4 linked regions of the Drosophila melanogaster genome follow. The protein of the gene in region 1 purifies or fractionates together with the protein of each later gene. This does not show direct contact. Each region holds a gene or a part of one and is shown in the gene's direction. Other genes may lie near its edges. The genes, in order: Pp1alpha-96A, Ccdc85, tim and sds22.

The links.
Region 2: the proteins of Pp1alpha-96A (region 1) and Ccdc85 purify together in Drosophila melanogaster (affinity purification with western blotting; one study listed by BioGRID). This does not show direct contact.
Region 3: the proteins of Pp1alpha-96A (region 1) and tim purify together in Drosophila melanogaster (affinity purification with western blotting, with the first as the bait; one study listed by BioGRID). This does not show direct contact.
Region 4: the proteins of Pp1alpha-96A (region 1) and sds22 purify together in Drosophila melanogaster (affinity purification with western blotting; 2 studies listed by BioGRID, with this or other methods). This does not show direct contact.

The regions. Positions count from the first base shown.
Region 1 is NT_033777.3:24,516,276-24,522,878, forward strand, and holds Pp1alpha-96A (protein phosphatase 1alpha at 96A), read left to right. Parts: upstream 1-1,994; 5' UTR 1,995-2,383; coding exon 2,384-2,432; intron 2,433-2,568; coding exon 2,569-2,917; intron 2,918-3,320; coding exon 3,321-3,606; exon of another isoform or gene 3,607-3,664; coding exon 3,665-3,812; intron 3,813-4,067; coding exon 4,068-4,219; 3' UTR 4,220-6,056; downstream 6,057-6,603. Other genes in the region: DZIP1, read left to right, coding at 1-256, 315-1,045, 1,101-1,257, 1,316-1,762; CG13622 (uncharacterized protein), read right to left, coding at 6,315-6,603.
Region 2 is NT_033779.5:2,997,493-3,002,339, forward strand, and holds the start of Ccdc85 (Ccdc85), read left to right. Parts: upstream 1-1,793; 5' UTR 1,794-2,509; intron 2,510-4,847. Other genes in the region: CG3558 (uncharacterized protein), read left to right, coding at 1-38, 299-756.
Region 3 is NT_033779.5:3,504,216-3,508,876, reverse strand, and holds the start of tim (timeless), read left to right. Parts: upstream 1-1,658; 5' UTR 1,659-1,681; exon of another isoform or gene 1,682-1,688; intron 1,689-2,120; 5' UTR 2,121-2,319; intron 2,320-4,298; 5' UTR 4,299-4,350; coding exon 4,351-4,516; intron 4,517-4,577; coding exon 4,578-4,661. UniProt on the Drosophila melanogaster protein: Required for the production of circadian rhythms. The biological cycle depends on the rhythmic formation and nuclear localization of the TIM-PER complex. Light induces the degradation of TIM, which promotes elimination of PER.
Region 4 is NT_033777.3:17,389,803-17,393,561, forward strand, and holds sds22 (sds22), read left to right. Parts: upstream 1-1,791; 5' UTR 1,792-1,905; intron 1,906-1,954; exon of another isoform or gene 1,955-1,978; 5' UTR 1,979-2,126; coding exon 2,127-3,107; 3' UTR 3,108-3,218; downstream 3,219-3,759. Other genes in the region: Brf RNA polymerase III subunit, read right to left, coding at 694-798, 858-1,226, 1,288-1,360; CREG (cellular repressor of E1A-stimulated genes), read right to left, coding at 3,689-3,759.

The DNA.
Region 1 (6,603 bases):
GCGCCTGAATGCCGCCGAGCGGAATATTAAGGAGCGGAGCACGGGATCGAAGCGGGTAAGTCCGCGCCAGGAGCAGCGCCACGTGGGCATACAGAGCAATCTGGCGGAGCCAAAGGAGAAGGACGAGGACAGCGGAGAGGCCAGGCAAAGCGAGGCCAGCGAACGGAAGGAGCAACTCACAGGATTGGCGGAGCGACTGAGCAACTTTGAGGAGTGGCAAACGCAGCTCAAGCAGAGCAACGAACAGTTTATACAGGTAGAATCAAGTAATCCTTACTCCTGTGGAAGTACCATTACAATTTATATCCTTTCAGGACATTAACAAGAGGCTGGAGGGCCTGAGCCACGCACTCGAGCAGAGTAAACAGGCATCCGCCAGCACGCCTCCGCTGGAAGATCGGGTGGCCACGCCGTGTCTGGAGGATCTGGAGCGCATACTCACTGAGAAGGTGGCAGAGATTGGAAAGGTCAGCGCACACAGGCTGGAAGAGGTGGTCTATCACCTTGAGGAGGGCTACAAGGAGAAGCTAGGGGCACTGGAGCGAGAGCTCAAGCAGCTGAGTGTTCAAAAGGTGCAGCCAGAGCCTGTGCAGACTGTGCCAGTTGCCTCGAAAATACCCAAGCCGGTGGTTCGCAAGGAGGAAACCAACATTGATCGGATTCGCAAGCAGGTGGAGAGCGAGTTCCTCAAACAGAAACATGACGATGACACCTATTCCATTGAGGAGGCGCCACGAAAAGGTTCGGAGAAACCATTCCCACAGCTGGTGACCCAAGTTCAAGTGGTGGAAAAGGAGCAGCCAAGTGCTGGAAGTTCGGACAGCAATCCGACTTATACGAAATCTCCAAGGGAACCTGCTCCTAATAAGCAGGAAACGAAAGAAGCCACGGACGTAAGCGATAGTCTCAGCCAAGAAGAGACGGAGAACGAAGAGGAGCGCAGCCTGACAGAGGAGGAGGGGACCGATGTTCCCACCTCCGGGTCGGAAGCAGCACGAGAGGATCCAACGCCAAAAACAATCAAGCCTTCTGGAAGAATCATCAAGTGAGTGTTTCGATGTTAAGCTTTCTTAGAGTAATAATAATCCACATGTTTTAAGGAGCCCTCAAAAACCACTTACTCGCAAGGATGCCCGGAAGATGGTCAACCGGAAGTTGATGTCTCACGGCTTCGATATGAAGTCCAAAGGTATTTCGCATAACTCTTTGAAGAGAGTGAACTCCGAGCTGACAGAGCACCGCAACAAACTGAAACTGGTAAGCCTATAACTGCCAAAAACTAATGAACTTTTGACAATTCTGGAATACCCTTTAGCAACATCCACATTTTTACGCCACTCGAAATCGCATCCGCAAGTTTGTCGAAAAACTGTGCTCCGCCAAGTTCTCGGAACGCGCGGAAATGTTGCTGAAGCACAAGAGTCCACTCAAGCCAATGGAGGTTCCAGGCAAAGGGATCCCGAGGTCTGCGATCTCTGAAAAGTCTGAAGAGGATATAGCCAGCTCTCAAGGCGAAGAGCAGACGGATGAGCAAACGGATAGCAGCGAACAGCAAACTCGAAGCCCCAGTCCTCAAAGACTAGTTAGTCGCGATTTCAAGGCTCGTCTGGAGGAGATCCTGGTCAAGCCGGCGGCCACTATTCGAGGAGCTTCCAAGTCGTCCCTGAGTTCGAGGCCAGTTCCGCTGCCCAGGAAGCGGGTGATGTTCAACACCACGGAGGACGGGAAGAGCTTCAATGACAGCGATGATAACCTAAAATGAGTCAATAAAGATGATATTATAATACTTTGGGTATAAATGTCAACGATACGTTTAATAGCCAATATATCATAAGATAATTATATTCCTTTATGAGTACCTATCACCTGTTCAATGTACCGTACTTAACTAAAAAATATTGTTTTTTAAATGAATTTGCATATTCCGGTCACACTACCTTTTACCGATAGCTGCGCGCCGTGCAATGGATAGGCAATCGATAGGCAATCGACTCGCGCTGTAAACAATCGACGTCACTAACCAACGTAGATGAAAATTTTTTAGTACGTCGCGAGTAAAACGTGCATTAAATGCAATAAAAGGGCAGCTGGCTAAGGATCGGAACGATTGAAGTCAGCCAACCTCAGAGGGGTGAGCAACCGAGGCAGTGAATCCGCGAATCCGTGCATCCAGCTGACCAAAGGGCGAGATTAGCCCAGCACCGAGTTTCCATCCGCACACGGACACGGCGCACACACACACAGGCACACGCAGCCCGTGCCCATCGATGAAATAACATACATAACGAACGTATACCGAAAATACACGGGTTACGGGAAATAGCAGTTGCTGCAATCGGCGGATAAGCGAACTTCAGGAAGCTGAGCAAGCGGGCCCACAAAGATGTCGGATATCATGAACATCGACAGTATCATCTCGCGCCTGCTGGAGGGTAGGTGTTAGGGCTCCAACTTTTGATTACCTTGCCCCCACCCATCATCACCCATTCCCCACATGCCTTGCCACCCAACCACCGCCCACTCTCATCACCTTAACGTAAATTTTCCCTGCTTGGTTTTCCATTGCAGTGCGCGGTGCACGACCGGGAAAGAATGTTCAGCTATCAGAGAGCGAGATCCGCAGCCTGTGCCTCAAGTCCCGCGAGATATTCCTGTCGCAGCCCATACTCCTGGAGCTGGAGGCACCGCTGAAGATCTGCGGCGACATACACGGACAATATTATGACCTCTTGCGCCTGTTCGAATACGGCGGCTTTCCGCCCGAGTCAAACTACCTGTTCCTGGGCGACTATGTCGATCGCGGCAAGCAATCCCTGGAGACGATATGCCTGCTGCTGGCCTACAAGATCAAGTACGCGGAGAACTTCTTCTTGCTGCGCGGCAACCATGAGTGCGCCAGCATCAATCGCATCTACGGGTAAGTGGGGAGGCGGCTCCAAAAACAGGATGAAGCTTGATGAAATGGTTAGCAATCTGTTCAGTTCAGCACCGAAACAATTTGCTTTCCTGCTTAGATTACTGAAACTCATTTGATTACAATTTATATTATTCTTACGACTCGTATTTACTTCTGATGACTATGTACTTTTATACATGCTATAGAACTTATAGTTGTTTATTGTTTACGTGAGCTTTAAAAATTTCCCAGACATATTGATGTCTACTTATGCTTCCAAGCTTATTAATACTTTCTAGTTTATTGACGCACACAACGATATCCATTACAATTAAATTAGCCATACTTCAAATACATAAAGTAAATGCCACATTCTATAGCAATAATCCATAAAATTACTCAACTAATTGCACTTAATTGGCAGGTTCTATGACGAATGTAAACGTCGCTACACCATCAAGCTGTGGAAAACTTTCACGGACTGCTTCAACTGCCTGCCGGTGGCCGCCATCGTGGATGAGAAGATCTTCTGCTGCCACGGTGGCCTGAGTCCAGATCTGTCGTCCATGGAGCAGATACGACGCATCATGCGTCCCACAGACGTGCCCGATCAGGGACTGCTGTGCGATCTGCTGTGGTCGGATCCGGATAAGGATACCATGGGCTGGGGCGAGAATGATCGCGGCGTGAGCTTCACATTTGGAGCAGAGGTGGGTTCTTCGCATTACACTGTTCGCCACAATGTTGTTTATGCATTCGCTCTTGCAGGTTGTGGGTAAATTTTTACAGAAGCACGAATTTGACCTGATCTGTCGGGCTCATCAGGTAGTGGAGGACGGTTATGAGTTCTTCGCCAAACGTCAGCTGGTGACGCTCTTCTCGGCGCCCAACTACTGCGGGGAATTCGACAACGCGGGTAAGTGATCATTGTTCGGGGACTTTAGTCGGAGATAAACCTTGTTTATTTGGAGAACAACCACGTTGCACCCTTGTACTCGGTGATTTTGCCTGCCGATAAGCTGTCGGCAAGTGAAAGCTGGCAACCAGATTTAAATTCAACTCGGAAAATGCGCATTTAAAAATAATCAATAATCAATACCGAGAATGAAACTACCTATGCACGACACCCGCTTCTAATGAATTGATTAATCATTATTGATTACGTTTACAGGTGCCATGATGTCCGTGGACGACACATTGATGTGCTCCTTCCAGATATTGAAACCCGCCGACAAGCGACGATTTGTTTATCCCAACTTTGGCAGCTCAGGACGTCCTTTGACACCGCCACGCGGAGCTAACAATAAAAACAAGAAAAAATAAACACTGCACACCTCGAACGAAGCACAACAACAACAGCAACTACAAACGGCCACACACACAAAACACAAATAGGGAAAACAGAAAGGAGAATCCGTGTGTCCACATTCAACGGAAAGCGCAGAGAGTTTGTTTTTATCATAAACGTGTAATCGAATCGTGAGCAACGTTATATGGGGAATATGAATCTACACAAATTAGCCTATCTTTCATTTGAAAAGGAAAAAAAAACAAAAACAAATAAGGAAAACGAAACGAATGAAATGAAATTAAGAAACCAGAAAACACAAATCGAGACACTTTAGTTCAAACTAATGGTAGTGTAAGACACTGCATAAGCAAGAATATTTTATCTCCTAATGTATTAATTTTGTTATAATATTTCCTTGCGCAAAACCCACACACTCACACACACACACACACATACACATGCTCAGATCATCCGTACAGTAGGTACCATAAGTGCACGCACCGGTTGTATTTTAATTTGCATTTCCAACTCGCACAGCATTTTAATTATGTATGCCGATCCTGGCGGCACCTTTGGCAAAGGTCTTTAACCACACTTCCCTTCTTCCTTGTTTTTTTTTTTTGCGTATCTAAGGGAATATTAGCAAATGGTAACAATGTTAAATTTTATGTTAATTAAACTGTACGAGAATGCTTTTAAATGTGAGTTGAGGTTACTACATATTACATATGTATGTACTCGAAGCACGATTTATTTTTGTAATATTTGACATCGATACATGTTTACTTAGTTTTAAAACGAGGAAAGCAATTTTAGTTGCAAGCTACAAAAGCTTGAATTGTTTACACCAAAAATATTAAAATAAACAAATATTGTGAATATTTTTTAACTGTTTGCATTACACAAACACACACATACAGGCAAGCACGCACACACGATTTTAAGGAGAACCCTGAAAAGTATGTTTATATAGACAAAAATAAACCCGAATTGAAAATCTACCTTAAGGCGAACGCTTTTGAGCGGCACTGTGTGCTCTCTGCTGATGTCAGCGACGAGGCAGATAATGTTACCCCCTTTTAATCCCCCGCCCAGACGAAAGGAAAGCAGCGGCCCCAGACCCATTAAGTGCATGTGAAACTCACACGAAATATAGAAAAAAAAATCGAAACAAAAATAAGCAAGTAATAAAATATTTGTAAACAGCAGCGCAACAAACACAGACACAAACACTGTTTATCGTACAAGTGTACACTTTTGTGTATTTTGCATTCTACGACTAACGTCGCAACATTCTAGTGCTAAAGGCCGCCACATTCAATTACAAGTATTATGCCCAGGCAGGCAGGCAGCGATCCGGAGCGATGCAGCCGGACGCAAGTTACCCAAAATGGTTTCGTTTGTATAATCCAATCCAATCCAATCCCCGCCCGACAACCAAGCAACCTACTAACAACAATCGTGTAACCTACGGACAAAAAAAAAAAAACAAAACCAAAAGCAAAGCATGAGTCCTCTTCTATTTCACACTCTAGTACTCTGTTCAATGTTGTAATGAATTCAACGTATATTTACGACTATATATGTACTTGTAATAATGCGATCCAGTACGACATCGGCTGTTTTCAACCCCCAAAAAACACAAGTCATAAGAAATCTATAACGTAATATCGTAAAATTAAAGTGTAATTGACCCCAAGAAGGAAATTAGAAAAGACAGATGGGGTAAATTTATAATGCATTCAAAGCGTAAATTGCAAAAAAAATAAAATACAATAAAAAAATAACAAACAAAAAAATCATTTAAAAAAGAGCTAAAAAATGAAACAAAAAAATACAAATTAAACAAAATGAACACAATGACGAAGCACTTGTAACAAAATAGCACTGTTTTATTAAAAAAAAAATTGAAATACATACTAGCAATAAATATGAAATTCGAGATGTGTTTTTACTTGAGTGAAATGCATGTTAGTTTCTTGTTTAAAAAAGCAAATCTATTATTTATTGTCTATATAGTTGGTGTTACAATCTAAAGCATTTCGAGGACTTTAAAATCTTATTTATAACTTTACTTTATGTTGCTTAATATATTGCACTAAATTTACTTTGTATAGCACTTTGTGTTTAGTTATATCGCAGTGAGCAACTCTTTCCCAAAGGAGCACATGTGCCACCCGTGCCCCTGCCATGTCGCTCATCCTCCTGGAGCCTCAGCTGGAGCAACTTCTGCCTTAAGGCATAAGGTGTGGTGGTGGTGCTGCTGCTGCTGCTCCTCGTCACTTCCTGTTGCCTGCTCTCATTGGCGCGATCTTTGTTCCACTTGTCCGAGTTGTTGAAAATGATTTTATCATATGCCCGCTGCAGGCGCAGCTTATCCTGGCGGACATCACTGAAGCATTCGCTTGTGTTCATC
Region 2 (4,847 bases), on another chromosome or scaffold:
TTCATCTGGCTTATCACAAATTTACGCATTCTTCACCGGTAAATATTTCACGCTTGATAAAATATTTAAAGTTTTAATCAAACCTAACCCAATATGGCATAGTCTTGTTAATATTTGTGCGTAGTATCTTTATTTTCGTAGAGCTTTGTACATTATGCTTTCCACTAAAAAAATAGTTAATAGTAGAATATAGAAAACATTTGTGGAATCCCATATATACATGTGGTTATTGTTGTTTTTTAATTAACCCAAAATGTCAATATCATGTGCTGTTGCTAATCCTCGCATACGTTTTTAGGAGCTGCCTCGAATCTGGTGGGGAATAATGCCAGCAACGATGGAAGAGGCATATCACAAGCTCAGACGTCCGCAGGCACATGCGAGACCAGCTTGAGTACGCAGCCCCCAGCGGGAGCATCACGCACAGGAGCCAACGCGACGTCAACAGCGGCATCGGGAAGCAACAGCAGCATCGCAGGTTCCACCCTAACGCTCTCCGCCCAGTCGAACACAACCACCCACTCGGCGAGCACTCTGCACGGTCTGGATGGCGGCCCGTCGACGGGTGGTTTCAACTCGGAGCCGGCGTCCCTGGACTCGGTGGCCTCCATGGGAATCATCGCCAGCACAAGTGGCACCGAGCGATCACGCGATCTGGCCCTATGTGCTGTGCTCATGGACGAGTGGCTTAAGGAGCTGGCTGCCATTGCGCAGGAGCAGAGCGTTGTGCTGGTCACGGAGCAGGGGTCTTTATGATCGCTTGGAACGGAAAGCTTGTGTATACATATTTTACGGATTTGTTAGCCCTTGTTTGTTTTAACCAGCTACTCTTACGAAATTATTCTTTTTACCTGTTAAATTTTCGATATTTATATTTTAAAAAACAACTTTTAACGAACAATGCAGTTTTGAACAGATTTACAAGTTAATGCACACGGACTCAACTAAAAAAAAAAAAGAGAAACACTCAACGCGTTAAACAAATAGATTTAGGTTAAATGTTTTAAGTGAATCGGGACGGTGGATCTTAAGTGTTCAGATGTAAACAAATATTCTAATTACCAGCCGTACGCAAAATTTACAACGTTTATAGAGAGAATTATATAACACACATACCATGTATACATATGTATTTTTGCAATATATTTTATGCTTTTATGTATGCAAGATCAAATTACACAAGTTATGTAAAGCCAACTTGAAAGTATTAAATTGGTCCAAGTAAATGCACAGCCAAGAAGATTTAGTTATTCTTATTATTAGCTTAGGATTTCAGGTTTAACGTGAGAGCCAATTTTATAACATGGCAACCACCAGAGGAGTCAAAGGGACTCACTGGGTATACCTTCTTCTGGTGCGACACGTAAACGCACAGTTCATTCTGCGCAAGTCAGCTGAAGCTGGAGGAGCTGCCTGCATCGGAAACACAGTTTAGGTTTGAGGGCCATTGGGAGAACTGCCTTTGGGGTGTGGCGGCGAAATACGATGATAATTTAGGCGCTGAAATTTAGCCAAAATGTTTTTAAATAAAAGTGTTTCTTATGAAAACTTCAAGCCAATATATTCAAGATTATACTTATTAAAAGAAGCAGGCAAGATAAATTTCCGTTTAGATCGTTAACGGAAGAGTTTGAATTTGAATATGTACTAAAATAGAAGTTGATCGATTGATCGATTTATGCCCACACTTTAAACCAAACACATTCCACTCCGATATCTTAGTCGAACACAAACAATCGATAGTCGACAGCACTGTGGATGGTTGAACGCATCTCTAGAAATCGGTCGCTTTCAGTCACAAAACTGCGATCGTTGCGATCGTTTGCCGTTCAAAAAACGTAAAAGTGCGCATCGCCGGCTGAATTATTGCGTTGTGTTTATTTTATTGTTAAATATCGCATAAATTATGTTATACTTTTCCCCGCCCTGCACTCGATACATTCGTGTTGGCGACTAATCACACCGCCCGCATTTTCGCAAACTTTTTGTTCTTTAGTTGCGAGTGCCGCTTGAGTGTTTGTTAAGTGCAAGGGGAACACCGGCTGAAACCGCCTTTACGGGATTCTAGCCAACCGAAAATAGTTCGCGAAACGCAGCAGGCGACGCGTCTTTTTGGCTCTCGAAAAGGGCATGAAAACTCGCGAACTGTGGCCAATAAAAGATACATACAGGAAAAAGCGATTGCGCGAATTCTCGGCTGCGTGTGCGCTGCAAATTTGCTCGTGCGGAGCAAAAACAAACGAAAATAGCCGGATGAACAAATACATCCAGTGCGAAGAATAATCTACGCTGTATAAACAATTAGCCGCAAAACAAACGGCGGAATCGAGTGCCCCTGTGTGCCAGTGTATTGTGTGTGTCTGTGTGTATCTGTATCCCTGGAATGCGCAGTCGCGCATGCGCAAATATTTGTGATTTGTTTTGAAAGGAGAGAAGGAGCGAGAAACAGAGATAGATAGAGAAACATAGAGAGAGCGCGCGATCGGATTGGAATAAAAAAAAATAAAAGGTGAGTTTTGCTGTTAGATTGGCAATTGCAGCAACTGCAGTTGCCTTGGCCTAAGTTGCCATTTTCCCTGCCCACGTTTCTCCACACAATTAATGTACAGTGCAAGGAACTATTTGAATAACATACATGATAACTCACTCACAAAAAGTTCAATTCAGGCTCTTCAGCTATTGAAAAAACATTGAATCAATACTTTTTTACGTGTACCAAGCCCACGTCAGTCGACTAAAAATCCATGGGCCTCGGCCCACGGAAAATTAACTCATTGCCCCCTCTTTTCCCTTCGATCCAGAAAATTGCTCTATTCTCCTCGGGAACGCCCACTTTGTCAGCGCTACGCCCACCTTGCCCATTTGTTCTTCTTTTGTCTCTGGTCTTTTGTCTTTTCCCTCCACGGTGCGCAAACGAAGGCGGGTTTTTCCTCCACTTATCGCTCGGCCACTACGGCCATAAAAGTCCGAGTAAAAATCAATTTTCAAAACAAGCAGGACAAAAACAAAGGAACGAGCCAGCGAGGCGGCAAGGGGGCAAGAAAGGGAATATCGGACGACAATAACATCAATTTTGAGGCATTTATATGCGCCAATAAATTCAACAGTTGCTTGCTGGTGTGAGTGAGAAGGAGAGGCAGCAGGAGCGATGGCGATAGTATCGCATCCGAGGAAAGCAACAAATAACAGGCAGAAAGATACACGACAACGCGCAACAATAAGACACAAGATCAAACAAAACCAGCAGCGAAAACCGACCACGCTGCAGCATCGCCGTTGCTTTTGTTGTTGCTGCAGCAGTTGCAATAGCAACAGCAACAACCACGCCGCATGCAACAGGTAAAAGCAGCGACGCCACCGTTTCGAAACGAAATGCCCGCAAGAGCGAAAGAGATGGCGCCGAACAACCTGTTACATCGCCCGCTGCCTGAAATATGTAAAGTCAATTTCGTGTATCGGAAAACTGTAACTAATGCCAGGCAACAGCAGCAGCAGCATTAACCCATTAACGCGAAAGGGAGAAATCGGCCAAGAAATGCAAATGCATTGTCCATGGGTTAAATGGAAAGGCGGGATGGTGTAGTTGGGAAAACTGCTTGGCCACATACCACAAACAATGCAACAGTCAGGCATCGTTTGAATTGGCAAAATGTAAATAGTAATTAATATTAATACAATTATTAACACTATTACTTCTCGGACAAAAAGTATGTTTCCTTAGGGGTCTAAGTTGAATGTTTAATATTACTCATTTCTTTAAGCCTTCATCCGAGTTGGAATCTTTTTGCGGTCATGAGGCTTTTCTAAAGTATCCACAAGAATCTCCTCCTGACTTGGCCCGGCATCTTAATGGGTTAAGATCCGCGCCCGTGGGCAACTGAGGCCAAGTTCGTTGTACGCGGCGGCAAATAAAAGACAGCGCAGTCGAGTAAGAAATTTTTGTCAATGAAAGAAAACTTTCTTTTGGGCTTATCCACGCCAACATCGCCGCCGGTCCTCCGTTCACTCTTTCGTTGTCTGTCCTCCTCGCCGGTGATTTTGTTTTGTGTGTCGCCCTGCTCTTTATATTCCTATAAGCACCCATCCATATACGTATATCTTTCTGTTTAATTGGGCGGTTTCGAGATTTACGCGCGCCTGCCGCCATCTGCAGAATCTCTTTGGAGTATAATGATCTTTTGGATCTCTACGTCTCCGCGGGCTCCTCTTCATGGTCCATTAAGACAATTTAGCCTGGCTTCTCTTTTCCGGGCCTTCGGGACTCGGCCATCGGATGCGTGGGAGTGGCAGGGGCGGCATGGGAGTGACTGATGCGTGGGAAGCCTCGTCTGTTTGTCATCTTGGGGCTGCAGGTTTGATTGCTTGCGAGCCAAGCCAGGGCAGACCAAGCCAAGTCATCCAGCCATCGAGTGTCCAAGTTGGCGCAACAAGTGTCCCAGTTTGTGGAACGGCTAGAAGCCAGCTACTCGAACTAGAACTAGTTTAAGTTTCCTGTCCCGGCAGCCATAGCTGGAATCTCCTCCACATGGTCACATACTTGCATGCTTATAGTGGCGGTGGAAATGCTAGAAGTAGGTTAGTTTAAATGCTTCGCTTTGCGATCTGTGGATAAACACGTCTCACAAAATCGTATATCATACATATATCCCAAAAATTATATAAACGCCAAGATTATTTAATAAGAGATCAGAATATAATATGCTATATAAGACTTATATTATCTTTGAGTGACATTTTTGGTGCTATTCGTTTGAGCGCAACTGTGACTTTTCTTTTAGGCTCGGTCATGTTGACTCTTGCTGCCGTTTCTGCGGTCGCCTGGAGGAAACCCCCTTTTGGCCAACCTA
Region 3 (4,661 bases), on another chromosome or scaffold:
GTCCTTGGCCGTTTGTGAGGGATGGAGTGGGCATCGCATCTAATTGTTTTGCTTTTGATTGGGAGGCTTATCAGCCAACTTTCATCGTGACTGTCCACCGTTCATGTGTTACATGCGGCGTATACGCAATTACTTGCATTACGTATACGTAGGGACAAGTTTTTGTGCATTGGCGTGGCTTACTTTGCCGCTGAACGGACTCCGCCATTGTTGTGTTTGCTTAGTGATAAATTAGCTTACAGAAATTAACATCAGGCGTTGCATAATTCAGATGTATGTACTTGCATAGCCTTGGCATTGGCGAAGTGATCGCACAACTTACGTTGAGTGGAAACTTTGGGCGGATCGGCTGAAGTGGTCTAATCAATGCTATGTTCTTACATTGGCACTTTCGTTTTTCTCCATTCACTTTGCAGCAATGGATATATAACTTAAATATTATTTGCAAAAAATAAAAAAATTAATTCATAGTTGAAATGTATTCAATCAAAATCTGCTCCTTTATATTAAAAATATAGTTAGATTGTCACCTTTTACAAAAGTCTAACCATCTAATTAACAGCATTATTAATTTGTTTCTTTTTTTTGTGACAACTAATCTTCTTATTGAAATAATAGAATTTGATAGTCTGGGTTGAATAACATTTTGACGTCAAATCGCCTATTGTGAGTGAGTGACTTCGTAAAATGAGAGTGTCAGTTATTTATTTCTATCGCCCCAGTCCGAGCAAAAGTATTTTCCTAAACCTCCGTTTCCAGTCGATTTACCACCGCGATTCGGTGCCGACGTGCTGCAGCTCGCGCCACCGTGGAAACACTCAAAGTAAATATATACGCTCCCCACAGTATACGCATTCAATGAGCCCGGTGCGTATACGCCGCGTGTGCCCGCGCCTGCAACCAACTGTTGATTCCGTTCCCAAAAGGATTATTCAACGGATCATCTGAGGCACTCAGAGCCGAACAATGTCACCCTGACGAAGCCTACGGCAGAGTCGTTCGAAGGCGGCGTCAAAAACGTTTAACTTTACACTGAAAAAAATATTGGTTTTAATGTGAAACGTCTGTGAGGAATACAGTACAGCAGCAGACAAAATAATATAATATTTATGTATGTAACAAAATATGTCATTGAATATATTATATACATATAAACGTGAGTGTTGTATAATCAAAAAAAAACGTAGTTTTGAAATCATTTATATTAATTATTTTGCACACTAAATATATACATTTATTAAATAAAGTAAAGTAAAGTATTAAAGTAAAGTGAAGTCTCGTTATTGAAGATACCATTTGGTAAAGTGACACACTTTTTTTTTTTGAGTGCACAGAAACGTTCTGACTATTGCTGTTGTTCCCAGACTGTTCTCCGTATTTTCCGGCGCTGGTTATTCATGTTATCGAACATCGTAGTGGCGGTTGGCAAATAAACGTGCGGCACGTTGTGATTACACGTGAGCCGATTTCCCCGGCCGTCCGGCATTGAGTGCGAGCGGGACGGAGCAGCGCGGCGAGAGCTTTCGGCTAGCGTCTTTCGTTCGCACAAACGCCGGCAGCGGCACGTTGGCCCTGTGTGAGTGGGTGTTTCGGTCAGTGTGTGTATCTGTGAGATGCATTTTGTATCTGACTTCGGTGAGCTAGCCGTAACTCAGATCGCATTCAGCATTGTGCGTTCCAAGTAAGCGGTTCGTTGAGCGGTTCGAAGTTTATCAACAAAATAGAAGTTTCGAAAATAAATATCTCTTAAATAAAGAAAATTTAATAAAGATATTTTGCTAAAATAATCTTGAATACTTTTGTGAATTCATGCAATAATATTTATTAATTCACATATCAATAATCTTAAAGAGAGTGCTTACATGACTCACTGGTCTTTCTCTCAGTGTTTAGCCTAGATTGCAATCGAAAAAAGTGCAAATTAATTGCTATTGAAGTTGCATTTTACATAAGCCAACAACGAGTATAAAGAATTTTTTGTGCAGTGTTAACAAAGCAAAGTTCACAAAGTGTTAAATAAAATTGCAAATCCTTAACAAATTTTTCATGAGTGGTTAAAATCTTAATATTACCAAAAAAACTGAATTTACCCTAACAAATATTCTTAAAACTACTTTCAGATATAAAACAAAAATAATTTCATCAGTGTATATAACAGCACTGAAACTATAACACGATCTATTCTGCAAAGAAACCCAAAAAGTGCTCAGAAAAGCTCAATTGCTTAGAAACATAAACAATCAGCTTTAATTGTTGATTGCAATTCGGCTAAAACTAAAACAGTAAAATTGTCTGCGATAGAAAAAATTTAAATAATTGGTAAGAAATATAAACCACTAGTATATTTAACATTACATAGCTTAGACCTGACCTAACACAGTTCGTTATCAGTTGACCCCTGACAAAATTACACTTTAACAAAGCTTTCTAAAAAGTAGCTTTAAGCGGCGACATATTCAAGCAATTAAAGCTTGCACAGAAAGAAAACCCATTTCCACATGAAAACGAAATCACATAATACTGGGAAAATGAAAACAAGTTAAAGGGGCAATTTACGAAGCACAACAATTCTCCGTTACAATTCTTATGTAAAAAGCACGCAGTGAACTGTCAAAAAAGGAGGCTTGGCCTTCCACGGAATTCCTGTCAGAAACAGGATAGCGAAATAAGTACGGGAATCGTCCTGAAACTGACAGATTTCATCCTGGCACACAGATGTTCAGTGGTTTCTGCTCGTTTAGCTAGGATTTTAACGACCCTCAGATGTATTTGCATTGCAAATTCAAATCTTAAATATTTATTCGTGATCTATCTTTGCTTTCCGTTTCAAATGCAAATTCAACCTCGCTTCAATGAATTTCCCCTTTGCGAAAGAATGAAAATTGTTTTCACTCTCCAAGAAAAGTAGATACTCAGCTCGAAATTTCAATGCGCATATCATTTTGTAGTTCTCGCCTTGCGTTTTATGTAAGTTGGGTCTTTGATTTCATAACCAGTCAGCGGAAATGGTATTGGGGTTGCTAGAAACGTTTCACAGATACAAAGATGCTCAGATGATCTATGATTTCGGATGGTGCAAAAATTATGCTCGACCAACAAAATTCGATATTAGTTTCAGTAGAAATATCTAAGTAAAATTTAAAAGAAAAGTATTTTTATTTTTTTTCTCTTAGATATCACTGTTTTCTTATTAATTATATTTTTTAATATTTTCTATAAAATGTCCATAATTTATTGTCCCTCAATTTACACACAATTAAATCTCCCTTCTTAGATATAATTTCCTATTGAGCATTATTACATTTTAAAACAATTTTATAGTAAATCAGCTAGGCCATAAATGGCTTTGTAATTTTAAAATTTTCTCAACTGTTTGCGCTGTTTATTTTCCGCTCTTGGCCATTTAGCGTGCCATTTAACGTGTTCGCCCAAAAGAGGGCAACGAAAACCAATGCAACTAAACTGCATTCGCTTTAATGGCCAAATATAGCACGAAACATTCAAAGTCAGCAGGCTGGAAGCCGCACAAATGCCAAATCCTGCATCCCGATTCATGTCCTATAAATATCGCTACGGGTGGTCGGCTTTTCCGACTGCAGGCTTTGTTCCTCCGGAGTCCCGTAGTCCGTAGTCCGTTTGCGAACCCAGTGGCTTTGTCCTCCAACTGTGTTGTTTACACAATCAGCCCGGATGTCTGCAAGTGAGTCACATGCGGCCACCGGGTGCCGCAGTCGCCTGTTGAGGATTTGCCTCGTTACGTGATGGCTGAAGGTTGGGCTCCCCCCTGTGTGGGGGGGGGGGGTGGTGGTGTTTGCCAATCCAGCCCACTTTTTCACTTTCCGGACTGGCAAGTGTGGCTTCTGGGAACTTTCGGGGCTCGTCTGGTAGGCAGTTTCCTTGATTCGACTCGCAACGGGTGGTAAATGGGAGACGTGCTGTGCGGACACGTGTGTGAGGTGATGTGGAATGGGAGTTGATTCGGGTTTCATCCCCGAGCGGCTGCAATTGCAGCACATTGCATGGACTGCGCCCTTGATGGTCACATGGGTGGCGATTTTGTTTGCGAGTGCAAATATTTATGGGAATCATTTGTGGTTGCGTAATGCCCTGGAAGACGATGGGTTAGTGACCTTAACATATTTTAAGGTGACTGTTACAGCTTACAAAAATGCCATAAATTTTTCACCATTTCACATCTCAGTTTAAATGTGTAATATTATTTAAATTCACCTCTGGTACCACGTTAAGAATATTTAAGTTTTAATAACAATTAAATATACATTTTTGTTTACTTATAGTTACAGATACCGCGCAAATGGCTAAGAAGTACCTCAATGTTCGCAGTCGACAATGAGCAGAGTTAGGCAGCTCCACAATCACATCTGGAATAATCAGAACTTTGATAAAGTGAAATCGGTTATGGACTGGTTACTAGCAACTCCGCAGTTGTACAGCGCGTTCTCCTCCTTGGGTTGCTTGGAGGGCGATACCTATGTGGTCAACCCGAATGCATTGGGTGAGTAATCAATATAGGACTACTACATTAATTAGGTATTTAACTTATTTTCAATCCCCAGCCATTCTGGAGGAGATCAACTACAAGCTCACCTATGAGGACCAAACACTGCGCACCTTTCGACGGGCCATTGGATTTGGCCAGA
Region 4 (3,759 bases), 7.1 Mb from region 1:
CTTCGAGGGAGAATAGGCCATGTTAATAGTTGCATACGACGAATTTGAAACCCAAGTTAACCAGTTAACGAAATAGCAAACAAAAATGAAATCAAGGGATCTTGTACGAGATGCGCACAAAATCCCCCCTACATATATATTCAAATATTAATCTTGTAGTACGCATTATATCTATTTCGTAGTTGTTCCATTATATCTCTCATACATACACAATATGCCTTTCTACTGATACTAAGCCCCGTACTTCTCCTGTGCATTATTATAGCCTGCTGAGCGCAACAATCAGTTTTACGTTTGTATTTCGGATTTCTTTGGAAATTGTACTGATTTTTTGCTTTTGATAAGACAATTATGGTTTTTATATACATATATCTATATAAAATGTTATCCTGTATTGATTATGAATCTATTACCATTATGTACTTTAATCAAACAAAATACATTATTAGATTTTTGCGAATTTACTTTCTCAGAGTTGAAGATTTTGGATATTTTGACATCACGTAAGTAGTGCATAAAGAAAACAGGAACGAGTAGAGTATTGTTAAATACCTGATAAAAGGAAAGCAAGCAAATCTAACAAACCCAACAAAATATTTTTAAAAAAACAAAAATTAAGAGTGGAGCTATGGCTTGACTTGACTGTGGATTGGGATTTAGGTGTATAGTTTAGTATTCACAACGTTCACTCACCCAGAGAAGGTATGTTGATACAAAGGGCATGCGATAACTTTAAGTAGGTACGACCAAGCTCATAGGAACAGATTTGCTGTACGTCGCTGATGTCGATGAGGAGATCTGTGAAGATATGAGCAGTCAATAAGCTACTCTTTAGGCAAAATGAATGCACTACTCACGGGAGGTGCCCTCTGTCCTGCAGGTCATGTACACGCAAGCGGCGTAGATGTGGGTGCTCTTCCTACCGCGGGTCAGATGCCTACCCAATGCCATCTTGAAGAAATTCAGAGCAGTATCTGCATAGTGCTGGGATAGCTGCAGCTGCTGGCAGAGTAGTGTGATGTCCTTCTTGGCCTTTTTGATGGTCACCTCGCGGGATTCGGTGCCCGATCCCACCTGAAACTTGCCGTAGCCATAGTTGGTGGCACCGCCCGACGACTCGGCGGACACAAACTGGCCAATTGCGGCTGCTCCATGGCCAACTTCCTCGAACTGCACTTCGGAAACAATGAGGGAATCCTCCAATACCGAGCCGCAGTTCATGCAAACTACAGTGAATGGGTGAACGTCGTTAGTGTCATGGATATGGGTCCTTGGATGTCATTATACCTCGATCTCCGCGAGCATTGTCTTCCTCGATCTCGTTGGATCCGCAATTGCGACATTTTAGGCCCGTAGACATGATTGTTTGTTCTTTGCTTTAATAAACACTGCCACCTGCAACGCTTCGTTTTTATCCGTTGTTTTGACAGTTTAAACTACTTGTTTGCTGTCATTTGAAAGCCATTTTCGAGTCTTTTTTAAACAATTTGCAATTTGTTGCCAATTGAATCAACACGCTTGGAAAACATCTGATTGAACCCCGCCGGCGTTGCTTAACACTGATGATAGAAGAAGAAATGCTAGAGATGCGCATTTCTCAATCAAGAACGACATTGGCACAACTGCTTGAAAAACTTAAAAGAGATATTAAAATTGTAAAAATTACGTAAAGCTGGTTCCAAAAATTATGTTCTAGTTTATTTGGCAAATTATCAATCAATATTTGTTTTTCATTTACATTGGAATATATAATAATACAGGTTTAGCATCGTGTTCTTAGGTGCACATCTCTAGTAGAAATAGTGTTAAAGTGCCGGTAAGGTGACTAAGTATTTTGTTGACATATTGAACAAGTTGGACCAAAAGGAGTATACAGTCATCTTGGACTTAACTTATAAATATTAAGTAAATATTTTAATACATATTTATTTTAAATTTACATATTTATATTTACCGTGTGTTCTTGCTTTTGTAACAGTGTCAAGCTTTGACGTCATATTTAAAGAAAGTCACCCCACTTTGTTCCACCCTGAGCAGCGGAATAAACAACAAGTCAAGTCAGCGTTCAATTTTCGAAAGTCAACTTGAATTAAAAAAAAAGAAAAGCCGGTCAAAATATATCAGTCATGGGCGATGCTGATCGTGCGATGAACGAACCAGAAGCCGCGAAAACTGTGTCCGGAATCCAGGTGATTCCCGCCGAGGATGTGGCTTCCATTGAGGATATAATCACAATCGATCCGGACTGCTACGAGCTTGATCTGAATCATCGCCGGATCGAGAAGCTGGAGAACTTCGAGCCGCTGACTCGAATCGAGCGCCTGTTTCTGCGCTGGAATCTGATCAAGAAAATCGAGAACTTGTCCAGCCTGAAAACACTGATTGAGCTGGAGCTGTATGACAACCAGATCACCAAGATTGAGAATTTGGACGACTTGCCCCACCTGGAGGTGCTGGACATTAGCTTCAATCGTCTGACGAAGATAGAGAACCTTGACAAGCTGGTCAAGCTGGAGAAGGTCTACTTTGTGTCGAACCGGATAACCCAAATCGAGAACCTGGACATGCTCACCAATCTGACCATGCTAGAGCTGGGGGATAACAAACTGAAGAAGATCGAAAACATCGAAATGCTCGTGAATCTACGACAGCTCTTCCTGGGCAAAAATAAGATAGCAAAGATCGAGAACTTGGACACATTGGTCAATTTGGAGATACTCAGTCTACAGGCCAATCGCATTGTAAAAATCGAGAACCTTGAAAAGCTTGCCAACCTCCGCGAACTCTACGTTTCGGAAAACGGAGTGGAAACCATTGAAAACCTCTCGGAGAACACCAAATTGGAGACCCTCGACTTGGCCAAGAACCGGTTGAAGGGCATTGCCAATCTGGAAAAGCTGGAACTGCTCGAGGAGCTGTGGCTGAACCACAACGGAGTCGATGACTGGAAGGACATTGAGCTGTTGAAGGTGAACAAGGCGCTGCAGACCATCTACCTGGAGTACAATCCGCTGGCCAAGGATGTTCGCTACCGCTCCAAACTGCGCGACATACTGCCGCAGCTGCAGAAGATTGATGCCACCCTGTGCAAGGTGCCCGGTACCTAGATGGAACCACTGTAAACCCCTTGAAAGACTAATCCACGGCGTTGCGCCACTACATTTATATCGATTAACTTTGAAAAACTGCGTTTAAAATATACATACAAATTAACCACTAATGGTTCTATCTACGAATTGGTGGGTGCAGTGATTTAGTTTGCTTTCAGAAGAAGGTATATTTGGATAAGTTACTCAAAGCGTGAAGTTTACCTAATGAGTCAGATAAATTATCCATCTAGGCTACCGCCTAACATATAAAACTAAAAAGTATTTTATATATACACATAAATAATGTAAATTGAATCTAAAAAGATGAAAACATTTTAGTTAAACAATTCTGGTTTCTCTTAAACCAAAACAATACATTTCAGTATGTCAGAGTACATTCAACGGAATGTATTTTTATTTATATCAAAGTTATTGTTCTATCGATTGAAATCACAGAGCTCAACTGATAAGTGGCTTTCATAAAGGCCTTTGTCTTCATTCTTTCCCTTTGTGGCAGACATGTTGTGCAAATATGCTTATCATTTCATTTTTTGACAAAGTATATGAGGCGTCAGTTGGATTGCTTTTGGAGGAGTTCATCAATTCGAAACAGCGTAATAGTCAGAGGCGCTCACTTTATGAGGACCTCCATAGAAGTCCAGAACAAAGA